2 linked regions of the Caenorhabditis elegans genome follow. The protein of the gene in region 2 purifies or fractionates together with the protein of the main gene of each other region. This does not show direct contact. Each region holds a gene or a part of one and is shown on either strand. Other genes may lie near its edges.

Evidence for each region.
Region 1: the proteins of fbxb-67 (region 2) and ndub-3 fractionate together in Caenorhabditis elegans (co-fractionation; one large-scale study listed by BioGRID). This does not show direct contact.

What each region holds. Positions count from the first base shown.
Region 1 is NC_003280.10:8,962,698-8,968,056, reverse strand, and holds ndub-3 (NADH dehydrogenase [ubiquinone] 1 beta subcomplex subunit 3), read left to right. Parts: upstream 1-3,166; 5' UTR 3,167-3,167; coding exon 3,168-3,298; intron 3,299-3,350; coding exon 3,351-3,417; intron 3,418-3,600; coding exon 3,601-3,714; 3' UTR 3,715-3,815; downstream 3,816-5,359. Other genes in the region: szy-20 (SUZ domain-containing protein), read left to right, coding at 51-664, 719-860; sec-62 (Translocation protein SEC62), read right to left, coding at 1,403-1,468, 1,518-1,840, 1,885-2,004, 2,089-2,340, 2,386-2,498, 2,550-2,625, 2,674-2,797, 2,863-2,883; sftd-3 (Vesicle transport protein), read left to right, coding at 3,914-4,029, 4,076-4,174, 5,346-5,359.
Region 2 is NC_003279.8:14,294,082-14,299,955, reverse strand, and holds fbxb-67 (F-box domain-containing protein), read right to left. Parts: upstream 2,670-5,874; 5' UTR 2,668-2,669; coding exon 2,594-2,667; intron 2,547-2,593; coding exon 1,691-2,546; 3' UTR 1,630-1,690; downstream 1-1,629. Other genes in the region: fbxb-8 (F-box associated domain-containing protein), read right to left, coding at 193-1,057, 1,128-1,201; fbxa-103 (F-box domain-containing protein), read left to right, coding at 4,090-4,337, 4,380-4,468.

The sequences.
Region 1 (5,359 bases), on a different chromosome or scaffold from region 2:
AAAATATGACAAAATAATGGACGATTCAAATAACCTATTAATAGTTTCAGAACTACATTCCGTACAATCTACCAAACATGGCCTACCCACCTCCAAACTTCCAACCCCAAGGACAACTGCACCATCAAATGAATGCAGGACAACTACACCAAATTCAACAACAACAGCAACAATGCCAACAGATTCAACATCAACCGCCTCAGCAACACCAACAGGTTATAAATGGCCAAGTGATGAATCAACAGAACCAAAGAAATCAGGTGAATAGTTATCCACAGCAGAATGGTGCTGGTCGTGGACAGAATCGACAGCCGATGATGTATCAGATGCCATGCAACAGTGGGCCGACAGCAAAGCCCCCGCCGTTGATGAATCAAATGCAGAATAGATGTATGACCAACAATGGTCAAAACTATCAGAATAGGAATATGCAGCAGCAAGGTCAGCAGCGATCATATTCGTCACAGCCTCAGAATGGTCAGTTCTACCAAAACGGAAATTCCAACCAGAACAATCCGAATAATGGTAGAAAACAGCAGCATCAGCCACAGCAGCAGCAGAACAAATCAGGAAAATTCGGACAGAATAGAAATGATATGCAAAAGAACAATTATCAACCAAATCTACAGCAACCTCCGATGAGTCAAAATCCAATTCCATTTGGGTGAGTTTCAATTACTTGGCTCATTTTAAAATATTGTTAACATTCTTTTTGCAGATGCCCACCACGTAATGTGAATGCGATTCGAGAACAACACGCAAACAATGGATCCCCAAACACTGGCGCTGGAATTCTTGGACCACATCCAATGATGTCTGCATCCCAATGGCCAGCGTTGCAGCAGAATCGGCCTCAATAGTTTGTTATTCCATTCTACGAACACTCTATAGACAATTCATGCTTTAACCACGTCTTTTTGATGTGCTGTGATGGTCATCTTTTCACATTTATCTCCCTTTTCTTGTTCCATCAGTCCGATTCGGAATTGTGTTAATCAACACGGGTCGTACTTCCTCTTTCTCCCCCCATCTCCACATATTTATATCATTATTTTCTACATTCATTTTGGCATGTTTCAAGTTATTCAATTTTCTATTGTTATATGAGCCAAGTTTGATGAAGAAATTATCTTGTTTGACTTTTGTATAGACCAATTTATTATATGTCCAATAGTGGACCGAAACGGAAACATTCAGATTTTAGTTATGCAAGAACAATGAAGAGTGACTGAGAAAGAAGAAACTAGCCAAGAGGGTAATCACAGTATGGAAGAATGGGACGAAAAATAGTATTTAAAATGTGACGAAACCGACAGGATGAGGGTAATGCAATAGATTTTCAGGACAAGTTTTCATAAATGCAGAAATGTGGAATGGAAAAATTTCAGGATAAACTAAATTTCTAGACTTTAGCTGGACGACGTTTTCGAGGAGCATCGTCACTTGGTGATGGTGGAGCAGAGATTTCCTAAATTTCAAAATTATAATTATTTAAATTGAAACACTTATCAGATTACCTCGTCTTCAATTTTTTCATAATTATCATCAGTTGATGCCTGACTATTTTTTTCAGCATCATCGTCTTCTTCCTCTTTTTGCTCCTGTTCAGCAGCAATGTGGTCTTGCTCCTCCTCTTCTGCATCAGAATCCTTTTCTTTTTTCGACTTTTTATCTTTCTTATCTTTCTTAGCTTCTTTCTTCTCATCACCAACATACTCATAAGTATACCATGGTTGGAATGATTCAAGAACTCCACAGTCTTCAGTCAAGTTCGGCAGAACCCAGAGTTTGTGTTTTCCGAAAGTAACAGCGTAGATAATTCCGAAAAGAATAGTACGGACTGAAAATAATCGAAAAATGAATATTATTGTTGAAACAACTCACGTATAGCAGTGACAATGATAGCTGCAAAACATCCAATTCCAGTAATTGATACGTAATAAACTCCTTGGCGAAGCCATACAGGCCATAGAGGGAACAAGCATCCGACAATTGTACCGACGACTGAAATATATTAATTGGATTTTAATTTTACACATTGAATCATTTCTAAAGCAGGAAATAACAAATCAAAAAGGGAAAACTTACGCATAAGTACTCCAATAATCTTTTTCATGAGAGGAGTTGGATCGAATACCCAAACGTAGACATCTTTGTCATCGACGAATGCTTGAACTTCATGTACAAGAAGCTTCACCTTCTTTTTCTTTTTTTCTTCGTCTTTCTTTTCGTCTTTTTTCACTTCTTTCTCATCACCTTCAGCTTCGGTTGCTGTTTCTTCTTCTTTGGCTTTTTTATTTCTCTTTTCAACTACACCTTTTGGAGATTTGGTAACTTCAGCTGAAAAAAACGTGTTTTAAGATATTTTTTAAGTTTTATGATTACCAGAAGAATCGTTTCCTTTATCTTTATTCTCTTTTTTCTTTGCTACTAATTTTTTTGCACGGAAGAATAATTGTTTCGAGTTGAGTTCGCAAATATAATGGAAGCAATCATCTCTGAAAATTTAGAATCTATTTAAATTTACGTAATTTCTACAGAATGCCCACCTTGTTTTAAACATTGCATCTTTCTTTGCTTTATTTCCGTACTTGGATTCCCAAAGAGTATCGACAGCTTTATTTCCTGAAAATATATGCGATATTAATATAAACAATTGAAATTTGTACATACCACTGAAATAATGAACTTCGTTTCCTTCAAACATGGTCGTGGCTGTCGGACAATTGAATCTGATGTATTTGGCAATGTCTTCTTGCTCCTTCGTCATTTTTACGGCATCTTCCGTAGATACGCCCTGAAATTTGAATTAAAACATCGTTCTTTTCTAGTTAATATTGATTTTTCCGAATAAAAACTCACTTTTTGATTACGTTTCGACATGGTTAAAGTTTTCCTTTATTAAAAAAGCAGAAAAAATGTTGAGAATCTGAAAATACAGCCAAAACAAAAGTGGTGCGTTGGAACAAGCCAAAATCTCCTGACAATTGATTGAGAAAAGTGTGCCGCAGTTGCGCTCTGACGGAAAACGCAACTGCCGCACGCTTACACACCGCGTAAATCTACACAAACTCGGCTGGCATTTCTTTCTGATTTTATCGTTCTCTTCATTTATTTTCATAATACAGGTTTCTAAAACATTTTTTTTCAATTATTTTAATTCCAGAATGGGTGGAGGACATCACGAGCCGTTTAAGATCCCAAACTACTCAATCTACAGCAATTTTCGCGATTTTCCACAGTTGGCGCAGCATGAAAAACGACTCGCTCAAATCGGATTGAAGGATCCATGGATCAGGTCGGTTTTTTATCGATAATATTAATAAATATATTATTGATTTTTCTTTCAGAAACTACGTCTACTTGTACGATCGAAAGTATCCACACGTTGTTGGACAATGGGCTCATTTCAAGAAGGTTCGTGTTTTCTTCGAGATGAATTAAATATTATTAATATAATACCAACATAATATTAAAAAATTTTTATGGATTGTATCCTATAAATGTGCTCTTGTTTGGAAAATTTCCGAGCAAGCCGATTTTCCAAAAATTATATTAATGTATTTAGGGAATTTTTTAAAATTATTTAATAAATTTCAGTTGATTCTTCCTGGATGGAAAGCTGGAGTTGCATTCACAGCTGCCTTGATTTTCGTTGAAGAAGCTTACCAATACAAGACTCACGGAACCACCTCATGGGATGGTCATCATTAGAATTATCTGTTTCAAATCTCGAGCCGATTTCTTTTTTTTTAGTTTAAAAGTTTTCTTTTTGTGTATGTAGTTTCTTAAACTCCAATAAATCATTCATTTTTAAAATCGCAATTCACCCTCGTTGAAAATTGGTATTCTGCCAGAAAGGTTTCTATGATAACGATGTCAATAAATGTTTTACAACAACAATTTAAAGGGCATGTCTGCTCTAGAGCAGTTCATAAATGATCAGAAGAAGAAAGGAAGTGGTATCAGCAGTTCAGCTTCATTTTCTTCATTTGATTCACTTCGCAACAAGCTTCCAACGTCTATTGGGTAACAAATTTCACTTAGAAGAAATGTATAAAGTTTGAAGTTTCAGAGGATTTTCCCTACTTTCCCGAAGCGAAACAACCGATAGTCAGCAGTTATTAGTTGGAGATGATTCTGGAGATGGACAATTGCCAGCTTCCAGAAATCGGTATGTTTTGTTCAGAAAAACAAAAAAAAATAAACTGAAAATCTTGATTTCTTTGAATTAAATACTCCTAAGTAGGCAAATATCAATTAAATATTATATATTTCAATTTTTAACTGATGAGAAACGGATAAAATTGTTTTCGTTTTAATAGACTCAAAATGGTTTTGAATTACTTAAATTTCATAATAAGATTACTCAAAAACTTTCAACGCTTTTTTGGCAGTTCGAAAAAAGTTTTAAAAATATTTCCAAAAGCTATGTTCACTTATCAGCGAAATTTTACGATTTTCGCGACAAAAATACGGTAGCCGGTATCGACACGCCGTTTTTTTGGAAAACAAAAATAGATGTGAGCCTTTAAAAAGTACTGTAGTTTAAAAATTTCGTTGCCGCTGAATTTTCATCGACTTTACATAGTTTTTCGGTAAAAATATACTTATTTAAAAAATTAAAATATGAATAAGCTATAAAAAATCGACGAAAATTTCACATTAACGAAAGTTTGAAATTACAGTACTCTTTAAAGGCGCGCACCTATTTGAATTTAATTAAATTAGTTGTGTCGAGACCGGACACCGTATTCTTTGCGCAAAATTGCAAGCCCGGGAAATATTATCACTCTTTTTGTGTTAAAACGACAAAATATCATTGCATTTCAAAAAAGGATATCTTTAAAATTTACAGTCAAAAATTGGATATTACTCAGCTTTAGAAACTTATAATTATCGAAGTCAACCAAAAAAAGGATTTTTTACGAATCTTACTTCTTATTTAATGTTCTGAATATTTTTTTAGAACATTTAAAATTTCCAAACATGCGAAATGCTTCTTACTTCTAAAAAAAACCAAATTAAATTGGTATTGAGCCAAAACTATGACTAAATTGTTTTCGAAAAATCGTAATTTTTTAAAGTAAACAAAAAAAAATCTGAAAATATATTTTGTTAAATTTTCCATGTATTAATTTTTAAAGTATTCATTCATAAAAAAATGCCAAAGATATCCGTTGCAAAATTCAACTCAATTAGATTGAAATTTATATTTTGTTTTTGGATAATTGGTTAAGTTAATCAAAAATTTATCACAGTAATATCAATACTACAATTCCTCGATTCAGTACACCATTATTCAAATTTTCTCATATGTTTAAAACATTTTAATCAAGTTTCAGAAAGAGTTCCGGAT
Region 2 (5,874 bases):
GAGCTAAGTCAAATCAACACATGTAAAGCAGGACCGGCCCGGGCTGTCGGCCTATTGAGGTCTGGCTGGCGGACCAACAAAATGGCAAAAGCCAGGCTGCCGGGCCGAATATCAACCTGAAAATCTGAAAGGCCTGTTTAGGAACCTTTTTTTCTGTTTCCAGCTTTCAAACAAATCCAAATTAAAATTTATTCATAAATCATTAAGCACAAACATTTGAAAGGTAAAACTAAAAATAACAATTGCCTCAATTCCATCGTTTCTCCTAATAATCGTTCCTCCCTTGAACATCACTTCCTCTCCACCATCCAAATGCCTTGTCACACGATCCTTCGGCAAAACCTCATGACTGATCCCTTGGAACAAGCTAGCCATCCGCTGATTCAAAGTTCTCGGTAGATTCTGATGCCCAACAACTAGCTTTTCCAATCTCCTTACCCCTGCTGCCCAGTGCTTCAGGAACGTGTTCAGGTCCTTCAGGTCCCATCTCGCGCGCACAACCACTCTCCGGCTATTGCAAAGTAGTAGGTCATTGAGGGTAAAGGTGAATGGTGAGGATGTTATGTAGACTTCATCGGTGTTCTGTAGAAGAAGAGACTTCGCAGATGACATATCTTCACCTTCGAGCTGGATAATATCACTTTGAGGGGATAGACTGATTGCGGTGCGCATTGAGGACAGTGGATCGTTGGATCCAAAACTTAAGGTTCTGAACTTCAAGCCTTCAAACTCCTTACAAAACTGCTCTGAATCGTGATCGAAGCTTGCAATGAACAGCTCAGTAATCTTAGGATATTTCAGCACAATTTGCAGGTGATCAATGTAATTTCTGATGCCAAATTCTTCCGGGAAAATCACGATTTGCCGTCGAGAAATGTAAACTTGTTCCAGATCCTGTTCTTCCAGCCACTTCTCAGTTGCAAATGTATACATTTCCCCTTCATAGATAACATCAAGACGGAAATTTGCTCTGATAGCCATTCGAATTCCGGTCACCGGAAAGTTGAAAGTTTCCGCGAGATTTTTTGCAGTCTCACAGGTGAATGAGAAGCGTATTCTACAAAAAATACGGTTTTTAAGTTTTTAAAACTCAACAAAAAAGAAAATCCAAGAAAAATGCAACTTACAAATCGATAAATTTCATGTGCAGAGCTGCGAGACGTAGGCATTTTCGGGGAAGACGAAGAATTGGGAGAGCCATGAGAGGGGAAATGAGCTAGAAGGGGTCTTTTCCTAGCGATAAGATGACAGGTGCACACATGGTCCAGGTCACGGGGAAGGAAGGGAATAAAAAAATTTACTTACCAAGCATTTTTTGTGATTTGAAAAAGAACCTATATCACAAAAAACTAGCTAAGTACAAGCCCTTTAAGCTAGAAAAAAACAATATGCCAACTTAGAATAGGCTACCTGGAAATTTATTCGAATTATGAGCTAACCCTATCAAAAGCTTGAACCCCGGAGCAGGCAAACGAAACATTGGGGGTGACCTATAGAAGTTGGGCGATTATTAATGGAAGATTCGACAAGGGGTGTCCTATGTAAACTTTCACCTTACATTTTCAAATCAGATGTTTTTCTGTAGAAGATGTCTTGAACACGGTAATAACTAAGCTTATGGAAATTTAAAAAAAAAACATTCATTTAACAAAGAACATCATAGAAGAATCACAGAAACGAGTAAATAAAATTAAAATGGAGTAGTTTGAACAACCATTCGAATCGAAACTTCCTGCCTGACCACCTTCAAAGTGATCCTCGCAAGTGTTCCTCGAAGACTTTTAATCATTATCGCATCCTCCTCAATAGACACATTTATCCCTTGAAATATCTTTGACTTGCACTCTTCCATCTCCAGTTGAACGGAAGTCTGTAGATATTTCATTCTGGGATTTGATCCTTGGATCCAGTGCTTCAGGAATTCATTCAACAAATGTGATTTGATACATACCAGTGTTCTGATATGTGTTGCATTAGTCATCCATAACGAAGATTTTTCCATTTTACTGAACTCCACACCAGTAAGATTTCTTCCAAGTAGCTCGTGCATCTGGCGGTCTTCGAAACTGTTATGGTTGCATGTGATGTGTAGCTTTTCAGATTTGAGAATTGAAATACTCCGAATAACCTCATCGTAAAGAAGACCATCAGTGCACAATCTGAACTCTCCAATCGGTATGTGCATATTGGCGAGCTGTTCGGAATCCAACACAGCTCTACGAAGACTAATCCTGTCGATTTTCGATCGATGGAATAACACGATGAAGTGCTCAATGAGCGCTTTATGTCCAACCCACCGAACAGTCCTCCTCATATCTAAGCTTTGCATATATTGTCCGTCTGGGTACCTAATTCCCAATATTGGTAGCAATACCGGCTGGTTTGCTTCACGCCAAGGAATTAATCCTGCACTTGTATTGTCTTCAAATACTGCCGCAATCTCGATGTGATCAATTCGTTCAGACGTCAAATGTAGATGCGATATTTTGATGTTCTGGGAAACTGCGAGATCCAAGCACTTTTTCGATGCAAATGAGAAGAAGACGCTGTAAATATTTAATTAATAAACAATTTTAAAAGGGGAAAAACTTACAAATCCATACTCTCCATGTTTCGCAGAACATTTTGCAGAGCTTTCGGGGGCAACAAGAGGATTGGAAACGACATAACTGTAAAGAGAATAATGAGTGAGTGTGAATATTAATTTGATACAGAAGAGCAATAAGGGGCAAAGAGTAGCAGAAGGTAAACGGCACACAATGCCCAAGACGTAAAAGTAAAAAATAAGAAGAGAAGATGAACGAATCATCTCCTTTTATAGGGCTAAACTGGAAAGGGGGAAAGACGCGGGAAAGAGAGGGAGTGCAAACTACGAACAAACAAGAAAGGGCAGATCAATATTTACAGGTAGATCAAAATTATATTAATACGACTGTCTTCGTGAAACGTCAGATTATCGATCGGGAGAGCACACTGAGTGAGCGTTGGACCGATTACGGACTATAAAAGCGCGTCCGAATTTCCGGGTCTTAGGTGTTTCACCTCAGTCTATACTGCAATATTTAATAATCAATTAATTTCCAGCACGGTGTCAAGTGAGGACACCTGCAAGAACACCTGGAGCATTCTCATCGGCTACTACCACGTCCTGCGTGATAAGAATTGGCATGTCACCTCTACCATCCAGAAGGTGAAGAATTCTACTAGGTCTTGGTATGAAAGTCTTCGCACAGGAACCAAAATCGCAAGGGCTCAAGATCAAAAAATCTCCTTTTGGAGTTCAGTGAAGACCAAGTGCAAGAGAAAGCTTGTTGCTACTGTGCAACCTGTTTGGGATAATGTTTCAAAGCGTCTTCTGATGAAAGAATGAGAATTTAAATTGATTTTACTGGTTTTTGTGTTAGTTTTGAATGAAGTGTTTCCTCTGGAAATTGGAGTTACTGTGAATTGGGTCGTGGGGAGTTTTGAGTAAGTTCGTGCAAAAAGACTGGTCTGGGCCTGCGGTCTACATAACCTAATTCAATGAGTTTCCTGCACAAGGTCGCCAAGTTTTATATGGGCCTTACGATACCCAATTACTCAAATTATCCACACAAAAACTTGATTTTCCACGTTTTCCGATATTTCAAAAAAAAACCCGTCATTCTACCAATATTTTACATATTTTCAGTCTATGTTCATTTCCCAAATTTCTTGCTTACACGGATACTGAAATTTTATGTTGTAACCCATAATTATGGCTTTCCATATTAACACCTCCGATCTAGCCACCTGCCTTAAGGCCGGCCTACAGAAACTCAATGTGCTCTCTCATTGAAGACATATAAAATGATCGCGTAAAGTTGTAGATAACAAAACGAACTTTGCACTTTCAACACCTCTACCGCAAACCAGAATTTGGTCACGGCTATGATTTTTTCCTAGCCTGCACCTATGCATTACAAATGTAATCCCTGTTATAGAAGAACAGCTGGCCCCGTGGTACAGTCTATAATTACAATATTGAGCATAATCTTATTGATCCATCTTTGCCTTGACAGGGTGTTGCATTGTGTTATTCACCCTTTTTTCATCTTATTTGCTTAATAGATGTCTGAATATATATCAATTATTGACATCACTTTTGTTGGACCAAACGTTATCACTACTGCCAAATACGAGGACTCTAATATTCGATTCGAAAAATCATCTGTTAATATTGTTAAGGAAGTGGATGAAAAGCTTATAGCGGTGAATCTAATTCCATTTCGAAAAATCAAATGCAAAACGTTGAGTCGTAGATTTTGTTCTCGCATAGTGGAGGTCCCGCTTATCATAGAAGAACCGGGAGATGATGTGTATGTTCTACAAAAGTACTAAAATTCAGAATTTTGTTTCAGAACAGTTTGGATGAAGTTTTACGCAAAGCGGAAATATATTGATCGGATGCTGAAGGATTTTAATGAGAAGCTTCGAGAATATAGGAAAAGTGAGTTTTTTGGTTATGATACTTAGGATACTTAGTCGATCCGTTCTTCGCCTGCGGCGCGGATCACAGCTTTCCAAGCTTTTCGGTCCTTTGCTTGGGTGGACCATAGTTGTTTGACTTGCCCGAAGGCGTCTCGCGTAGTGACTTCTTTTCTTAAAGAGTCATTCCATCTCATCGGTGGGCGTCCAACGGGTCGTTTCTCGTCTCGGGGCACCAATCGTTCATCAAAGTTATCCATCGGCCATCCGTTCGTCTCGCCACGTGTCCAGCCCATCCAAGTTTCCTCTTTTTTATGTGTATTAGTGGATCTCTGAGTTTTGACTTTTTTCGAACTTTTACTCTGACTCTTTCCGCTAGCTCTTTTGTGAAAGTCCAAGCTTCAGAGCCGTAGGTCAGGGCTGGGAGAACCGTAGAGTCGAAGAGATTTGCACGGAGGCGTGGGCAGGTGATCTGGTCCATGGTGCTTTTGATGTTGGTAAAAGCTGCCCACGCAGCTCTTCGTCTTCTATGAAGCTCAGCTAACAAATTGTTACTGTCGTTTATTTGGCGCCCGAGGTAGATGTATTCGTTGACATCATCAATGATGATGTTGGTGGTGTTTGGGCATCGGATCTCAACTTTCCTCTTATAGGAAAACCTGTTCCGAAGGACTTTGGTTTTCCCTGTGTTGATTTTTAGACCAACACTACTACACTTTTCCACCAGTTCCGTAAGCATTTGACTTACCGTTCGCGGATTATGAGCCACGAGGACAATGTCGTCTGCAAAACGGAGGTTGGTGAGATTCTGACCGTTCACACGTATTCCTTCAGTTTCGTATCGTTCATCTCCTTTGAAGTGTTTCCAGTTGAGTTGTCTGAAAACATGTTCAAGACACGCAGAGAAGAGGTTTGGCGATATTGGGTCACCTTGTCTGACTCCTCGTGTGACCGGGACAGTTACGTTTTTATGGAACGGCGTGAAGGTGGTCGAGCAATCGGTGTAGCATTCTTGGAGGAGGTTGATATATCCCCTTTGCACTCCTTGCTGCTGAAGACTATCCCAGACATCTTGTGGTTCGACACTGTCGAAGTCTTTTTGAAAGTCTATAAAAACAAGTGTCAGTGGGATCTGGTACTCTCTTCCCACTTCGAGCAAGCGTTGGACTGAGTGGATGTGATCAATTGTTGAGAAAGATCTCCTGAATCCGGCTTGTTCAACGGGTTGAGCTTCTTCGAGTGTTTTTCGTATTCTATTCAACACACATTTAGTGAATGTTTTATATAATACGGGCAGCAAGCATATCGGACGGTAATTCTCCAGACTTTCACGATCCCCTTTCTTAAAGATCAGGGTGGTTTTTGAAGTTTTCCAGTCCTTGGGGATATTCCCGCTTTCTAGATACCGATTGAATCTTCCGGTGATCA